3 linked regions of the Ovis aries genome follow. The protein of the gene in region 2 interacts with the protein of the main gene of each other region in a biochemical or structural test. Links are inferred from orthologs where the notes say so. Each region holds a gene or a part of one and is shown on either strand. Other genes may lie near its edges.

Region 1 (6,418 bases), about 92 Mb from region 2:
CTGAAGGCTGTGCAGGTCATTGAGAAGGGGAAAGCAGAAATGGCCCCTCAAGAGAAAAAGTCAACCCTAAAAGAGTTGATACCATCAGTCAAAAGCTAATCTGTTACACTGGACTCAGAGATTCCATGTCTAGTATAATTTATCTTGCAAATGGGAAGCAATACATATACACAATTTAATACAGGCTTATTTTTATAGCAAAAGTGAAAAGTGTTAAATCATAATACACTGGTACAATGGATACTTTCTGTGTAGCAATATAAAAGAATGAAGAAGCTTTCATGTAACTGTATAGTAACACAGAGTTATCGCCAAGATGTGTTTTAAAATATTTCCAACATTATTGCTCAGTGGGAAAAAAAGGGCAAAAACAAATACATAGGCTACTATATCTATAAACTTCTGGAGAAATACATTAAAAAGGGGTAACATTGTTTGTCTTAGGGAAGAAAACTAATTAGAGGCTAGGGATCAAAGGCAGGAAGAAGTCTTTTCACTGTTAATTCATTTTGTACTTTATGAATTTTGAAACATGTGAATGTATGATGTAGTAAATTAAAAAAATCTACTGTATTTCGTATGTTGATGTGTATTTTCTTTCTGGTACAGTTCCATAGGTATTTTATACTAGAAAGGGAATTCCCACACAGTGATCATATATTTTATAATCTTTTTTAAACAAATGCCATGCAATATGTAGTGTCAACAATAGAAACATTTTAAAGTATGGATCCTGCCCTACAGGCAAAAGTTACTTAATTTAGAAGGTACAAATTCAGGACAACCAGAATGAGTAACACCTTGGAGGGAAGTTAGGTAGAGAAGGATAAATAATACAAGATGTGTTACCTTGCTGGTTCCTCCTTGAAAATAGGTTGGTTGCCAGATACATGCACTTAGTCTTATCCTTCTCCAGACACATTGTTTAGAGAAACCATGCCACAAAAGAGAGAGAGACTGGAACTATGTCTTGGAAGTGTTACTAAATCAAACTTGGGTCTGCAACAAAGCCAATCTACTGACATGCGGTTGTGTTAAGATAAAGTACAGCATTTATTGCAGGGCACCAAATAAAGAGAACAGGCAGCTTGTGCTTGAACAGACAGCATTACCAAGTCCGAGCTGGTTCTACTCACTGACCAATAAGATGGCAAACTAATGTCTCAAAATAACCATCCTATCTGGGTCTGGATGCCAGGTTCTTTTACAGAATGAGTGGGGTGGAGGGGGTGGGGTGAGGAAGAGAAGTAAAAAGCCCCTTCTTCTTGCAAGTATCTCCTAGAATGGCAAGTCTGGGGAAGGTATGTGTCAATTTCTTCCTTCCTGTAGCCATCCACAGGTGAGCAGGGTCCTGAACAAAGGTCCTGATTTAACAGTCAGGCAGAGGGGCAAGGTTCCCTGAGGCAGGCCATCATGTATAAACAGTACAGAAGGGTACTACAGAAAGGTAGGCTGAGGAGTACAGAGGGAAGAATTTTCAAGTTACCGCTCGGGTCTCAGTTTGTTTTGAGGTTTCCCTTTTTCTGCCCAGAGTCCAATCTTGCGACACTGCCCGGTTTCCGCCGTCCCCGGGAGCAGAACCACGCGAGAAAATTAGAGCCACAACGACCCGAGGGGGGCGGTGGCTCACCGGTAAAAGAACCCGCCAATGCAGGAGCCGCAGGAGACAGGGGTTCCATTCCAGGTTTGGGAAGATCACCTGGAAAAGGGCATGACAACCCGCTCCATTATTCTTGCCTCAAGAATCCCAAGGACAGAGGAATCTTTCGGGCCATAGACGATAGTGACGCAGAGTCCAAAAGGACTGGACCGACTTAGCAAGCAAGCACACACGCCTAGCAAGGGGAGGGGCGGGCTCTCTCCCGGCCGGGGGGGCGGGGCCAGCAGGGCAGGCAGTGCGCGCGCAGGCCCGGAAGTCCCGTCTGCGGAATGTTAGCTGTCTGTATCCTTTGTCGGTTTTGTATGGTGGGAGGGGCTGTTTTGGCGGGCAGTCGTGACGCCACTAGCCCTTGCGGGATTCTAAGGCGCCGCCGCTAAGATTAGGCTTTCTGGCTGACTTTAGAGAGGACAAGGGGTGGGCTCAGAATCCGAGTAAGGCGCGAACGCGGACCCGCAGCAGCGGTGAAACGGAAGTCCTGCTCCAACGGAGCCCGCGTCCGGGGGGAGCTGCAGTCTTCCTCGAGCGATGGCCCGAGGGCTGTGCGCCTCGGCGGCCTCCGTCTTGGCTGCCAGGAGCTAAGGGCGCGTTCTCACCTGGTAAGTGGGAGGAGGGGAACTTGGCGCGTGAGCTGGAGCCCACTTTCCGCCCTGCTGCAATGATTGTTAATGCCTGGGAGCAGCCAAGATTCATTTGTTTTCTTTCCGGATGTTTATCTTAAACATGGACAAATACACCGCCTTCCAGGGTCGTACTGTTTACCTGACCTGTAGAACACCATTTTTACTTCTAGACATTTGATGCTTTCAGTCTCTGAATTATGGCAGACTACTGGGCATAATATTTAAAACGCAAAACTGTTACTTTGCTTTTTTCTTATTCGGACCGGAAACAAGATTCTTTCTCTTTCAGGTATTGATGTTGAATATGCCTTATTAGCATATTAAAATGGCTGTACGCAAAGACTCCATCCCTTCCTTGTTAGAATGTCAATGCCAAATCTGTGTGGAAATCCTCTTTGAGCCTGTGACACTGCCTTGTAACCACACGCTCTGTAAACCATGTTTCGAATCGACTGTCGAAAAGGCAAGTTTGTGCTGTCCCTTCTGTCGCCGCCGGGTCTCTTCGTGGGCTCGGTACCGTACCCGAACAAATTCTCTTGTTAATATGGAACTGTGGGAGACAATTCAAAAACACTATCCAAAGGAATGCAAGCTAAGAGCCTCTGGGCAAGAATCAAAGGAAATTGGTGAGTAAAACCCAGCGCGTTTGTTGTCTAAAAACCAAGGTCATTTTGAAAGCCAACGGCCACTAATCCATTTTTTAAAGGATGAAACAGAGAGCCAGTTAGTATTTGTCTAAAATTTTCAGAGGTATTTGGGGTTTTTTGGCCTCAAAATGTTGATTAAGGTCAATGGCAAGATTTTGTTCATTGCCCAGCCTGTGTTCACTTGGTGTTTGTTCGATTAAAAATGAAAAGAAAAACCCAAAACAAAAGAATTGCCCGATAGTCTTCAGTCGGTGTGAAAAGTTATATAAATAGTCTCAGAGGAGCCACAATCGCAGTATAGCAACAGCAGAAGTAAGGATTCTTGTGTTAATGTCTTTTTCACTTTCAATTATTTTCTCTAACTTGCTTGCCTATATATTGCCATTCATTTAATTCTTAAGCTTGCAGGGAGCCTAAAACAGCTTTCTGTGGCTATCTAGTTCAGCCGTTTTTATTCAAAGGTCCTCCACAGTGTGGACTCTTCTTTATGCCCCAAACTGAACACTTTATGTGCTCAATAAGTCATGCGATGTTTTTTGTTTAGGCTTTGAATGCAATGCTTAATACTTACCTTTTTTTGAAATTCTTTTTACTTATTGTCAGTTCAGTTCAGTTCAGTTCAGTCCCTCAGTCATGTCTGACTCTTTGTGACTCCAGGGCCTGCAGCACAACCAGGCTTCCCTGTCCCATCATCAATTCCTGAAGCTTGCTCAAATTCATGTCCGTTGAGCTGGTGATGCCATCCAACCATCTCATCCTCTGTTGATCCCCTTCTCCTCCTGTCCTCAATCTTGCCCAGCATCAGGGTCTTTTCCAGTTAGTCAGTTCTTCCCACCAGGTGGCCAAAGTATTGGAGTTTCAGCTTCAGCATCAGTCCTTCCAGTGAATATCCAGGACTGATTTCCGTTAGGATGTACAGGTTCAATCTCCTTGCAGTCCAAGGGACTCTCAAGAGCCTTCTCCAGCACTACAGTTCAAAAACATCAATTCTTTGGCACTCAGCTTTCTTTATAGTCCAACTTTCACTTCCATACCTGACTACTGAAAAACCATAGCTTTGACTCTACAGACCTTTATTGGCAAAGTAATGTCTATGCTTTTTAATATGCTATCCAACTTGGTCTTAGCTTTTCTTAGTTTGCCATTTTTATCATTTTTAAGTGGACGCAGTAGTGTTAATTACATTCACAGTGTTTTGCAACCATCACCACTATGTTTCCAAAACTTTTTCATCACTTAGCAGCAGACAGACTCTAACCATTAAGCTATGACTCCCACTCTTCCCCACCCCCTTTCCAGAGTTCTCTGTGAATTTGCTTGTTTTTTTAATTTCTGTGAAGCCCCAGTAAAACACACACACCATCTGTTTAGCAGAATTAAACATCATAGACATCATTTACCACAGAATTAGCTCATAAAATGTTCCCATAAACCCCAAAAGATACCAGGACAAATCACCAAAATCAGATCTCCGTGGTATAAGCAAGAAGGAAGCATCTGGGCTGTTTGATGGATCTGAGAACAAAAGAACTTCAGAATAAGCAATAGGTATTCATTGGGAAGGGCTTCCCAGGTGCCTGGGCAGTAAAGAATCCACCTGCTGGATACAGGATGCTTGGGGCTGGTGCACTGGGATGACCCAGAGGGATGATATGGGGAGGGAGATGGGAGGGGGATTCAGGATGGGGAACATGTGTACACCCGTGGTGGATTCATGTTGATGTATGGCAAAACCAATACAATATTATAAAGTAATTAGCCTCCAATTAAAATAAATAAATTTAAAGTTAAAAAAACAAAAAGAACCACCTGCCAATGCAGGAGATGCGGGTTCAGCCCCTGGATCAGAAAGATCCCCTGGAGAAAGAAATGGCAACCCACTCCAGTGTTCTTGCCTGGGAAATCCCATAGACAGCGGAGCCTCATGGGCTACAGTCCATGGGGTCCCCCCAAAAATTAGACACAACTTAGCGACTCAACAACAGCAATATAAGTGTATTCATAAAATATGTGATCTGTTATGTCTGGCTTCTTTCACTTAGCATAATGTTTCCAAGGTTCATACAAGGTTCTATTATTTATTAGTACTTCATTCTTTTTTAGGGCTGAATAATTTTTATGTATATATTTTTTCATTCATTCATCAATGAACATTTGGGTAGTTTTCACCTTTTGGCTGTTTGAATGGGTGCTGATATGAATACTTATGCACAAGTATTTGTTTGAATATGTTTTCATTTTTTGTGTATATAGGAGTGGAGTTGCTGGATCATATGGTAATTCTATGTTTAGCCTTTTGAGGATCTGCCAAACTTTTTCACAGATCTGCATCATTTTAAATTCCCTTCACAATGTGTAATGGTTTCAATTTCTGCACATCCTAACCAACACTAGTTCTTTTCTGCTTTTTAAAAAATTTTTTTCATTTTTTATAGCCATCCTAGGAGGTGTTAACTGGTATCTTAGTGTGTTTTTTAAAATGTGGTAAAGTATACATTACAAAATTTACCATTTTAACCATTTTTAGACGTTCAGTTCAAGGCATTGAGTACATTCACATAGGTGTGCAAGCATCACCATCATCCCTTTCCAGAACTTTTTCATCTTCAAAAACTGAAACTCTGTACCCATTGAACAATAATTCCTCAGTTCCTCTCCATCCAGCCCTTGGCATCACCACTGTTACTTCTTGTCTCTATGATTTAACTACTTTATGTACCTTATATAAGTAGAATCATAGTAGCTATTTGTAGCTTTTTTTGTCCCTTCCCTCCTGCCCTCCCTTTCTCTTTTTCTCCTCTCTCTCTTTTTCCCAGTATGGGCAATTTGGCGACTTCATTTAAAAAAAATAATCCAAGTATAATTACCTTACAATGTTATATTAGGTTCACTATTTCACAACAGTGATTCAGTAATTCTACATAGTACAAAATGATCACCACCTTCTTTCACTTAACATAAAGTCAGACTTTATGTTGTAGCATGTGAATGAATTTCATTTCTTTTTATGGCTAATATTTTATTGTATGTGTTTACTGTGTTTGTTTATCCTTTCATCTGTCAGTGGGTCATTGGGTTACTTCCATCTTGGGCTTCCCCCTTTTGGCTATTGTGAATTAACATTGGTGTACAAGTGTCAGTGTCCCTGCTTTCAACTCTTTTGAGCATGTACCCGAAAAGAAATTGCTGGATCATGTGGTAATTCTATGTATTACTTTTTTGAGAAACTGCTATACTCTTCCATAACAGCTGTACAATCTTAAATACTCCTGCCAGCAAGGGCAAGAGTTCCTTTTTGTATCTTTGTTAGCATTTGCTACTTTCTGGTTTTGTTTTCTTTGTTTGATGGAGTAGTGGGGGGATGCTGTCTCATTGGTTTTGATTTATATTTCGCTAATGACTAGTGATTGTGAGCATCTTTTCATGTGCTTGCTGGCCATTTGTATATGTCTTTTTTGGAGAACTATCTGTTTGCTATTATTGTGGGATTG
Region 2 (4,898 bases):
TTTACATTGTATTAGGTATTAAATCGACCTGCTAAATCGACCCCATAGACGGCAGCCCACCAGGCTCCCTCGTCCCTGGGATTCTCCAGGCCAGAATACTAGAGTGGGTTGCCATTTCCTTCTCCAATGCATGAAAGTGAAAAGTGAAAGTGAAGTCGCTCAGTCGTGTCCGACTCTTCGCGACCCCATGGACTGTAGCATGCCAGGCCTCCCTGTCCATCGCCAGCTCCTGGAGTTTACTCAAACTCATGTCCATTGAGTCGGTGATACCATCCAACCATCTCATCCTCTGCAGTCCCTTTCTCCTCCCGCCTTCAACCTTTCCCAGCATCAGGGTCTTTTCCAATGAGTCAGTTCTTTGCATCAGGCGGCCGAAGTATTAGACTTTCAGCTTCAACATCAGTCCCTCCAATGAATACTCAGGAATATTCATGAATATATGCTGTAAGGTGCAGGAAACTGTAGATGTTAGCTCAGGTACCGGGCAGACTGTTGGAGCAATTCAGGGAAAGAACAAAGAGAAGGGAGCTGGCGGGGGGGGGGGGGGGGGGGGGGGGGGGGGGGGGGGGGGGGGGGGGGTGGGGGGGGGGGGGGGGGGGGGGAGTTGGGGGGGGGTGGTGGTGGTGGCAGGTGACTGGATGAGTTTGCTTTTGGATAGGTCGAGTTATAGGGACAGACAGGTTGAAGTATCCAGTTAACAGGTATACAGGCCTGAGCTTCTGCAGCAAATACTAGATGAAAGCACTGAATTGGGTACGACTTCGGGAAGAGTGAAGAATGAAGTGTGCGGAAAGGGCGAATACGGAGGCAGAGCCGAGCTTAACACTGGGATTTAAACACGGACAGGGGGAAAAGCAGCAGAATGAGGAAAGACGGAGGGCGACATTTTGAATGCCAAGGGAAAGACGCCTTCAAGTTGAAAGCGGTTTGGGACGCCTCCTAGAGGTCAAGAGGAGGATGACATACTATTCTGGGCTTCCCTGGTGGCTCAGACCGTAAGGAATCCACCTGCCTGCAATGCTGGAGACCCCGGATTCGATCTCTGGGTCGGGAAGATCCTCTGAGAAGGAAATGCCCTCGATTAAACCGGAGTCTGAGGAACAGACGGGTGGGGATGGGGCGAAGCCACACCGCAGGCAACAACTAAATTGAAAGAAAAGAAGAGGCCTCAGTAGTTTTGTATTTTTTAAGGTAGTCTGGCTTTGACGAGCCAGAAAAGGAGGAACTTAGTAATTTAAGGTTCCAAGGCCCTTGAGTGGGAGTAACTGCATCTGCTAAAGGCTCTCTGCAGCCCTTTAAAATCCTTTTTGGGAAACCGGAAAAAACCTACCACCCGTAACCTAGGAAAAAATTGCCGCTCAGTAAATAAAGCAAAACAGAAGAGCGTTTTGTTTGAAAGCCTTCACTTTAAAAACCCTGGCATGCAAATAAAGGGCTTTAATATGGCTCACAACGATTGGTAGGTACTTATAGAAGCCGTCATTTCCTCGTAGCCCAAGATGCAAACGAAGAGTCTGCTCTTCGCTTTCCTATTGGCTGTTCGATCGGACTCCGCTTTTAGCCAATCAAACCACTTCCCTTCACCCCTCCCGGTAGCTCTTATAAATTACATCAAATTGGTTACCCTTGCCATATCGTTCTCCTTGAAAAAGAAGCTGTAACTGCAGTTTTAGCAGTAATGTCAGGCCGCGGAAAGCAGGGAGGCAAAGCTCGGGCCAAGGCCAAGTCGCGCTCATCCCGCGCTGGCCTTCAGTTCCCTGTAGGGCGAGTGCACCGCCTGCTGCGCAAAGGGAACTACGCCGAAAGGGTGGGGGCCGGCGCACCGGTGTACTTGGCGGCAGTGCTGGAGTACCTGACCGCGGAAATCCTGGAGCTGGCGGGCAACGCCGCCCGAGACAACAAGAAGACGCGCATCATCCCTCGCCATTTGCAACTGGCCGTGAGAAATGATGAAGAGCTCAACAAGTTACTCGGGGGTGTCACTATTGCCCAGGGCGGTGTCTTACCCAATATCCAGGCAGTCTTATTGCCCAAAAAAACGGAGAGTCACAAGCCTGGCAAGAATAAGTAATTAAGAGGCTTGATACCATCCCCACTCACCCCAAAGGCTCTTTTAAGAGCCACCACCAAAGTGTCAAAATAAAGGGCTGATCACAAAATAGCGCATTAGCTCTTTTTTTGAAAACTTGGGTGGCTCTAAAAAGAGCCTTTGTTCTTTGGTTTACTTTGTAAGGCTTTATTTGCTTTTGGCTTTATGGCTTTCGGTTTTCTTTGGTAATAAAACGGCCTGGATGTTGGGCAAAACGCCGCCTTGCGCGATGGTAACCTTGCCTAACAGCTTGTTCAGCTCTTCGTCGTTGCGGATGGCCAGCTGCAGGTGACGAGGAATGATGCGCGTCTTTTTGTTGTCTCGCGCCGCGTTGCCGGCAAGCTCCAGGATCTCGGCCGTCAGATACTCCAGAACCGCCGCCATGTAGACGGGCGCGCCGGCCCCCACCCGCTCAGCGTAGTTGCCTTTGCGCAGCAGGCGATGCACTCGCCCTACCGGGAACTGCAAGCCTGCACGGGACGAACGCGACTTGGCCTTCGCCCGGGCCTTGCCTCCCTGCTTTCCGCGACCAGACATGACTAAAGATAACAGTAGTACCCTTAAAGATCAAAGCCCCTCGGCAAATGTTTAAGAAAGATCAGCAATTGGAAAGCCTTTATAAGTTTTCTGAGGGGTGGGGTCAGGAACGAGCTTTTCATTGGTCCCAAATTGGCTCCTGAAACAGCCAATAAGGTTAAGAGTCGGTGTTATTCTGTAGCTATTACTGATAACGTAAGGTCTCTCCACGGACCAATGGGAATGTAAGACTTTTGGAGCCTTAATTTGCATACGGTGGTTATAAATGGATCAGGCCCGCCCATTCTCATACCTCTTTTTTTGCCAAACGGCGTTGCTTCACAATGCCTGAGCCGGCAAAATCCGCTCCCGCGCCCAAGAAGGGCTCCAAGAAAGCCGTCACCAAAGCCCAAAAGAAAGACGGCAAGAAGCGCAAGCGCAGCCGCAAGGAGAGCTATTCCATCTACGTGTACAAGGTGCTGAAGCAGGTGCACCCAGACACCGGTATTTCGTCCAAGGCCATGGGCATCATGAACTCATTTGTCAACGACATCTTCGAGCGCATCGCGGGCGAAGCGTCGCGCTTGGCGCATTACAACAAGCGCTCAACCATCACGTCTCGGGAGATCCAGACGGCCGTGCGCCTGCTGCTGCCTGGCGAGCTGGCCAAGCATGCCGTGTCCGAGGGCACCAAGGCGGTCACCAAGTACACCAGCTCCAAGTGAGTCCCTGCTGGGACGCGGCGCTCGCACGAGTCGCAAAGCCGCTTGATTTTCCAAAGGCTCTTTTCAGAGCCACCCACCTAATCACCAGAAAAGAGCCTTGTTCACTTGTTTCTCCTCAGTTCCTCACAAAGTAAGTTACTCTAGTTGGCTAAAAGTAATAGAAGATGACACACGTAGCTTTTTAAGCCCTTATGACTTGAGATTCCTGGCGCGTGACTGGCTTTGCTTTTGAATCTAGGGCGCGTCTTAACCCTCACTGCTGCTTAGCTTTCGTATGAGTCAGTTCTAAATTAGGATACTGAGACTGCTCCTAGACTTGTGTCCTGGTGGCTCTGTTGGGTACGTGTCACCGGTGTTCCAAAACGAAGTGAGTGATTTCAGCTATCCACATTTAAGAAAGGACCCCAGGACACGACCAAGCCCGGGTCTTTCGAACACTGCATCACAGCCCTGAAGAATTGCGAGTTTGGCAGCTGCGTGGGTGCCGGATCACGAATTAGGCCCTTGCGATGTGGCTTCCTGTGGACACCAGCGGTTCGGGATACTTCATACTGAGCCCGCGCTGCCTGGTCTCAGCCTTTCCCTGATTGGACATGAATATTCAAACTCTCCCGCCGCTCCGGAATTCATAGGTTCTGGTTTGCGCCGCTCACTTTGGCGCTGTGAAATTCCTGTTATTTCTTGGTTTGTGGATCATTTTTGCTTTTAATTCTCTTTTCTCGGAATATTTCGGCGTCAAGTCACCGGAAGGCACTAGTCATTTTAGTCTGGTCTCAAACGTCACCTCTCAGACACCTTCGGGAAGTTGTGTCTCTCCTTCCTGCCTCTGGTCCCTCACTATTTTATTTTCTTCCTAGCAGCTGTCAGAAATTGTTTTGCTATTAATAGTTGGTTTTTTTTTTTTTTTCTTGTTTACCATTTTCCTCAAGACCTTAACGGAAACTTTATTGGTTTGGTTTTCCTCTATATCGTCCCCGCCAACCAGTGCTTGGCACACAGTGGACGGTTAAGTACTTACTGAATTAGTATTGAATTCATTTTTCTGTCCCTCTTCTTTTAAAAATAGCCTTCATGGATGGATGGATGGGTGCGGTTCATTTCCGTTAGATGTATGTGAAGACATGAAAATGGAAATGTTTTGGAGCTCCTTTCCCAAGTTGGCTATGGTCACCTCAGGGCAACAGCTGGGAGGAGGGCTGTATTTGTGCGTGTGTGCTAAGGAGGAGGTGGCAGTTTTAAGTCCTTCCTTTATGCTTTTCAGTTTGGTCTAATCTTTTGGATTTTCATTAAATTTAGAACATTGCTCACTGGAAGATCCTTTTCCTTTCTTCATTTATGACACCCTCCTTCCATCCTGATCATTTGTTCCCCATTGAGATGAACTTTTCATTTACATTCACAGTTTCATTTGCTGTTCAGGAGACCCTATAAAATAGACAAGGTTGGGGCTTCCCTGGTGGCTCTGGTAAAGAATCCGCCTGCCAGTGCAGAAGACACAGGTTCGATCCCTGATCCAAGGAATATCCCAGAGAGAGAAAAAAAAGTAGAGAATGTTAATATTTCTTTAA
Region 3 (6,625 bases), about 28 Mb from region 2:
AAGGAACTCAACAGGCAACTATTAGTCTCTCTCTTTTTTTTTTTTTTCCTCCACACCATAATTAGTTTTGCCTGTTCTAGAACTTAATACGGGGAAGACAATGGCACCCCACTCGAGTACTCTTGCCTGGAAAATCCCATGTATGGAGGAGCCTGGTGCCCTACAGTCCATGGGGTTGCTAAGAGTCGGACACGACTGAAGTGACTTAGCAGCAGCAGCAGAACTTAATAGAGATGGAATTATCCAGTAGGTACCTTTGTGTAAGGCTTCATTGTGTGTATCCATGTTCTTGTGTGTATCAGTAATTTCTTTTATTCCTTAGCTGTATCCACTCAGTGACTATACCTTAGTTCTTCCATTCCTCTTTTGATGGAGACATGGGCTGTTTGCAGTTTTTTGGCTATTATGAGTAAGGTGTGAATAGTCAAGTACCAGCATTTCTCATGACTGAATTTCTTTAGTAAGTATTAAGCATTATGTTCCAAATACTTCTAGGTTCTAGAGATATAGCCAGGAGATATAGAAGAAGACAAAGATGCCCCCATCTCAAAGAGCTTAGGTCTGCTTGTTTCTGGGGCAGGGGAGAAAGGAAATGGCACCCTACTCCAGTATTCTTGCCTGGAAATCCCACAGGAGGCTGGCGGGCTACAGTCCATGGAGTCGAAAAGAGTCAGTTAAGACAGTAACACACACACCTAAGGTCAGGGTGGTGGGGCAGGGAGTAAATACATAGGTAACTATGAAACAAAGATACCAGGTGGTGATAAATGCTGGGTAGAGAAGTAAAATAAGGTGATGTGAGCGATAGGGTAGCCATGTTACCTATGTTTTTCAGCCAATTTCTTTATGTGAAAGTGACTTTTAAAGTGTGAACAGAATTAAAAGCTCAAAAGTGAATGGCATTCTAGGTGTGGTACAATGGCCCTAAGGCCATTTTAGAAAAGGGGGGGAAAAAAAAGGTCTTTGTGCTAAATTAAAAAATTATATAAGCAGTATAGAGCAGGAGAGCCGTTTACCCCCCAAATTTAACCATCATTACTCTGGCCAATTCGACAGGTTAGGGTGCCCCTTTCTTAACCTACTTTTATCAGATTACTAATAACGATAACTATTTATTCATATCATGTTTTTATTGTGAATTACCTGTTTATATCCTTTGCCTGCTTTTCTATTGGGACCTGCATCTTTTCCCCTAGCGATTATTGTGTCTTCTGCATAGGACTAAACTCCAAGGCGACCAAAGCCTATGTTTATTTCACTTTACAGAGGGCTTGGCACTTAACCTATTTCTAATGCATAAACAGTAAATATTTGTAAATTTTACCTTGTCAGCAAGGTTATTTCCAGACTATATACTCAATTTTAGAAGGCCGGCTGGTCAGAATTCGGGAAAATGAGTAAAATTTAAATGTCCCCCTTCAAATGTGATGTGTTTGAGTAAGGAGACTCAAATGTCTGACCACCCCCAGGTACCAATACTTTAGAACTGTTTACCCAGAGTCGCTCAGTCGTGTCCGACTTTTTGTGACCCATGGACTGTAGCCCACCAGGCCCCTCTGTCCATGGGATTCTTCAGGCAAGAATACTGAAGTGGGTTGCCATTTCCTTCTCCAGGGAATCTTCCCAACCCAGGGATCGAACCCAGGTCTCCTGCACTGCAAGCAGACGCTTTAACCTCTGAGCCACCAGGGAAGTCTCCTTAGAACTATTTAAATAACCCAATAACCACAGTGGGTCCAGTGGTAAAGAACTCGCCTGCCAATGCCGGAGACACAAGAGACATGGGTTTGATCCCTTGATTGAGAAGATCCCTTGAGTAGGAAATGGCAACCACTTCGGTATTCTTGCCTGGAAAATTTTATGGACGAAAGGAACCTGATGAACTGCAGTGCACGGAGTCGCAAAGAGTCCGCAAGACTGAGCGCACATGTACCTAATTACCGGAAGCGCCGGGGGCGGGGGGGAGGGGAATAAAAATCATTTGACAGCCGGGTCAGTCGCGAGCCACCACGTTCAGACTTCCGGCGCGAGTCCCGCGCAGGCGCCGATTAACTAGCGTCAGTGCCGCCGGGCCCAAGGGGCACAGCCGCTTCCCATAATGCCGCGTACCGGAAGTTGTTGCTTTCCAGGGGTCACGCTGGCTTCTGCTCTGTCGCTTTCAATTCGTCACCGGGGAGGAAGACGGAGCAGGCTGCCCGGCCCGAGGGCCCACTAGGGGATGCAGCCATGGGCGCTGTCGCTGTGGGTGAGTTCCGCTCCCACTGCCTTCGCAGTCACCACTCGCGTGACTTCCTCCGCACCCGGGAGCCCGAATTTTCCTGCCCCGACCTCGTTCTCTCCTCGAAGGCCCCTCTGCCTTTAAGCACGTTACCTGGCCTCGGCCCAGTACCGCGTTCTCATTGGCCTCACGTCCTGTCAGTTCCAGGAGCTGACCAATGAGTTGTCGGTGCTGGCGCCCTCCTCGACCCAGTGGACCCCGAGGTTCCCCCCGTGGGTGCGGAGCAGTTGGAAGGGAAGGGGAGGTGTGGCGGACTTCGTGAGGCCGGGGACTCTTCTTACGAGTTGGCGCTGAGTTTGCCGCCGTGTCCGCTTGTTGGTTATTAGGACAGGCAGGAGCTGTCGTCTAGACGATTCAGTGCTCCCAGGGTAGGACACATCTTCGCGAAACTTGAAAGCCCTGTTTTAGCCCCGCTGACAGAAGTTTTCCAAACGCATGCATGTTTAATGGATCCCAGGCAGGCGTGGGAAATACTGGAAGGGCGGAGAGGGAAGGGAACTGGGTTAATATGAGAGCCGGCAAGACCAGCTACTTTTGCTGGAGCCCTGCAAAGAGTAATTTGGCCCAGAAGGCAACGCTCATCTGAAGACTCGCCTGAGAAATTGAGTAGATTTATGGATGTTTTATAGATGATAATACTCAGTACTGTTTTCACAACTCATTAGATGCCCTTTATAGTTGTCAGAAATTTATTGGGAGCTCTTTTTTTCCACATTGAAGCAGTCCCCCTACTGTCCTCTGCCTGCAGCAATTACAGTTCGTCTTTCAAGTTTTCCTTTGGCGTCTGAGCGACTAGCAGGTCCCAAACCAGATTTGCTAGTGCTGTCTTCACTGCTGCAGAGTTCTTCCTTCTTTACCTTTTTCTTTCTCACCGGAATTTGTGTGCTTCATTCTTGTACACCTACCTTTTCACCTTATAATCGTCCTTAATGCCACAGGTACTATTCTCTTTTTCTGTCTTAATGCAAGTAGTATTTCTGGATCTGCTATATGTTAACACTATTCTAATGCTGTAGGTGATTCAGAAGTAAGGCCTAAAACACTTTCTTGCTCTTAGAACTTTAGATTCCAAATAGAGAAATGACCCATGTCCAGGTAAAAGATTTAAGAAGCATCTCACTTAGGTATCTGATTAGGGTACAAGATGAATAGCGCACACTGAATCCTGGGAAAGCAGAGTTGAGTGGTTTATTTAAAGTCAACTGGTTGCCTAAGGCTCCATTGAAATGAAAACCTTGGAGGAATGGGGAAGATTTGGATAGATGGAGCGAACTCCCAGCTAGAGAGTAAAGGCTTAGAGGTGGAAGGCAAGGTGTTTTGGAGTGGAGGGTTCAGAAGAGTCTGTGGGATTCTGCCTTGGAACCAAAAGATCTATGATTTAAGTTCCATTTCTGCCACCCTGTGATCTTTCATCATTTTGAGTTTACTTTAGCACAATGCTCCATTTAAAGGCTTTTGTGAAAATCAAATGAGATAATATTTATGAAAAGGCTTTGAAAATCCGAAGCACTGTATGACTAAACATTAGTGGCTCTTTTCTGAGAAGTAATGAGAGTCAGGGTTACGAGGGTGTTGAGGACAATTTATAAGGGACCATGAGTGCACAGCACAGGAGAGTGGGTCGAAAAACTGTCAAGTACTTTGAATCAGGAGAGTGATTTGATGCAAATGGCATCATTGGAAGACATTGTCTGTACTAGAATGCAGCACAGATTAGAGGGAGTTGGATTGGAGGGAGGCAAGAACTTGGGTGCTGTTCCTCCCCACCACCTCCGCCAAATCAGAATATACCCTCATTTTGTATATAACCATATAGTTGTATTCTGTTAATAAATACATTGGTTTTGTATAAATGAAACTTTGTTAATGTTTTATCTTTGAAAAGGGTAACAGTTAATGATTTGGCACTCATTTTTCTTACAAACCTTGTGGGATTACTGTGAATTACCCTCACACGTTAAGAACTAAAGGAGGAATATTTTTAAGACTGTAAACCAGAGCAAGATGACAGCTACCTTTCAGAATTAATTGGGAAGTGTTTTAAAAATATATGTCCCATGTCCTACTTTCCACTTATGGAATCAGAATTTTCATAAGCATCCCAGGTAAAATAATTATTATAGTCATTTAAGTAATTTTGACACTTAAGTTATTCTAATGTATGTAAACTACAACTTTTCAACATCATTATTAGGTAGACCTGTATGTACTTTCAGTATTTTTCATGTGTTCTGATTTTTAATTGTTGACTGAAGAGGTGATTTGATGGTAGCTAGATTTGTCATATTGCCTGGAAAAATCCCATGGATGAAGGAGCCTGGCAGGCTACAGTCCATGGGGTCACACGACTGAGTGACTTCACTTCACTTCAGATTTGTCATATTATTTCAAACTGATTTTGTCAAGAATATAATAATGTAGATGGCTGAGAATACAGATGTAGTCAGTTTTCAGTTAACATCCATAGGAAGTTCTGGTATGGGAAGATGCAGAACAGTGTATCATACTATATGGTTGGCTTTGAAACTATTTTGCAAATTTTCTAACTCCCTCTAGGAGATTGTTTTCAGAATTATTTTATTTTTCTTTGAGAAATTATAAATCTAATTGCATTGCCTGCAAGAACTAAGAAAGATAGCCTTGAAGAAAGGGAAATTAAAGTTTCAAAGTGCTACCACCATTCCACATTTATGTAGTGAGAAGTTGAGTTCCTAATAGTGTAAAGTGTTAAGACTTCACGATCTGTGTAAGAAGATACAAATTCTATCCAGACCTTTACATTTATTGAAAACCTCTTAACATTACTAAGAACCAGTTTCCTAAGCTATGAAAAATAGAGGTAATACTCTGCTTTGGGGGTTCTTATTGAAAACAATGATACATGTGAATGGTCTTTGTAACTTATAAAGTATGATAGATACACAAAATGATGTGGTTTAGTTCCGTTACTGTATCCTAGAGAACTGTAAAACTTTTTTTTTTTTTTTGGTCAAGCTAACTTTGTCTTGTTTTCTAGATTGTTATTTTGTGTCAGTAAGTAACCCCTAAAGTGCCAACATGGGAAAGAAACGGACAAAGGGAAAAACTGTTCCAATTGATGATTCTTCTGAATCTTTAGGTATATTTCACCAATTAAATCTTTAAAGTAATGTTTGTATCCCTAAATGGACATCTATTTTAATACGTAAAAATGGGATCAAAGTGTTTTGATTATGTTATTTTGTAATTTGCATTTTAACTTAATGTTTGTATAGACATGTAATTTAATAGTCTGCACAACATTTTTAATGGCGTGATATTTATTCCATTGATATAGAAGACTATGGGTACTTATTTCATGATTTATTTGAGTAATCCTCCACTGTTATAAATGTAGGTAATATGTAATTTTTCAGTGTTATGAATGGAGTGATAGTAAATATTTTTGTAGCTCAAACTGTGCACATCTGGTTATCTTCTTGGTACAGATGCTAAAATTAGAATTGCTGAACTGAGATATAAATATTTTCAAGATTCTTTTGGATCTATTGCCATTCAGAGATGTATTACTAATGTAGGGGCCCCCTAGCAGCATTTCTCTGAACCTTTAATGACACAGGTTGGTATTATTTGTAAAAATCTTTGCTGATTTGCTAGTTGAAAAAGAATATTTTCTTTTTTCAGTTTTTCTTGTTTTTGACAACTTACTGGGCTTTAGTAGTTTTTTTACATGGTCTCATTTGCATTTGTATTCTCTTGGTGCATATTCATTGGACATAAAGCTAATTGTACCACTTGATGACTTTCTAAACCTCCAGGAGCCATGAAAGAACTGAAGCCCTTTAGAGTGGCTTGCATAGCCTGTTACTGATCTGGCCCGAGCGGGGTTTTCAGTCTCAGGTCGTGCTGCTCATTATTTCACTTGTGACTGCCATTCTGAGAAGAGAGCATGCACTTTTACATTTTATACCTCCATCCCTTTGTTAATGGGATGTGGCCTTTTCTGGGTCAGGAAGATCCCCGGGAAGAGGAAATAGTAACGCACTCCAATATTCTTGCCTGGAGAATCCCATGGACAGAGGAGCCTAATGGGCTACCATCGATGGGGTTGCAAAGAGTTAGACACAACTGAGCAACTAAGCACAAGGCCTTTTCAGATTGTTTACTCCATGAAATCATAGTTTAAACTATGAGCTTGAAATTAAAAAGACTTAAATCCAAATTCTAGTATAGCCACTCAGTAGTTATGTGACCTTGGGCACTAACTTTGAGGTTTCTCATCTATCATTGGGGGTAATACAGTCTGCTTTTCGTGGTGGTTGTGTAGATTAAATGAGATGATGTGTATAAACAGTTAGCACAGTGTCA

Evidence for each region. The genes of interacting proteins can lie anywhere in the genome.
Region 1: of the proteins of histone H2A type 2-C (region 2) and RNF168, one has a biochemical effect on the other in vitro, tested with the Homo sapiens proteins (4 studies listed by BioGRID, with this or other methods). The link is inferred for Ovis aries from reciprocal best matches to the Homo sapiens genes H2AC20 and RNF168.
Region 3: of the proteins of histone H2A type 2-C (region 2) and USP16, one has a biochemical effect on the other in vitro, tested with the Homo sapiens proteins (2 studies listed by BioGRID). The link is inferred for Ovis aries from reciprocal best matches to the Homo sapiens genes H2AC20 and USP16.

Annotation. Positions count from the first base shown.
Region 1 is NC_056054.1:191,858,902-191,865,319, reverse strand, and holds the start of RNF168 (E3 ubiquitin-protein ligase RNF168), read left to right. Parts: upstream 1-1,920; 5' UTR 1,921-2,256; intron 2,257-2,569; 5' UTR 2,570-2,605; coding exon 2,606-2,906; intron 2,907-6,418. Other genes in the region: SMCO1 (single-pass membrane and coiled-coil domain-containing protein 1), read left to right, coding at 1-99. UniProt on the Homo sapiens protein: E3 ubiquitin-protein ligase required for accumulation of repair proteins to sites of DNA damage. Acts with UBE2N/UBC13 to amplify the RNF8-dependent histone ubiquitination.
Region 2 is NC_056054.1:99,991,581-99,996,478, reverse strand, and holds histone H2A type 2-C, read right to left. Parts: upstream 2,680-4,898; 5' UTR 2,627-2,679; coding exon 2,237-2,626; 3' UTR 2,187-2,236; downstream 1-2,186. Other genes in the region: histone H2A type 2-B, read left to right, coding at 1,679-2,071; histone H2B type 2-E, read left to right, coding at 2,950-3,330. UniProt on the Homo sapiens protein: Core component of nucleosome. Nucleosomes wrap and compact DNA into chromatin, limiting DNA accessibility to the cellular machineries which require DNA as a template.
Region 3 is NC_056054.1:127,737,482-127,744,106, reverse strand, and holds the start of USP16 (ubiquitin carboxyl-terminal hydrolase 16), read left to right. Parts: upstream 1-2,127; 5' UTR 2,128-2,245; exon of another isoform or gene 2,246-2,646; intron 2,647-3,026; exon of another isoform or gene 3,027-3,216; intron 3,217-5,294; 5' UTR 5,295-5,335; coding exon 5,336-5,396; intron 5,397-5,745; exon of another isoform or gene 5,746-5,876; intron 5,877-6,625. UniProt on the Homo sapiens protein: Specifically deubiquitinates 'Lys-120' of histone H2A (H2AK119Ub), a specific tag for epigenetic transcriptional repression, thereby acting as a coactivator.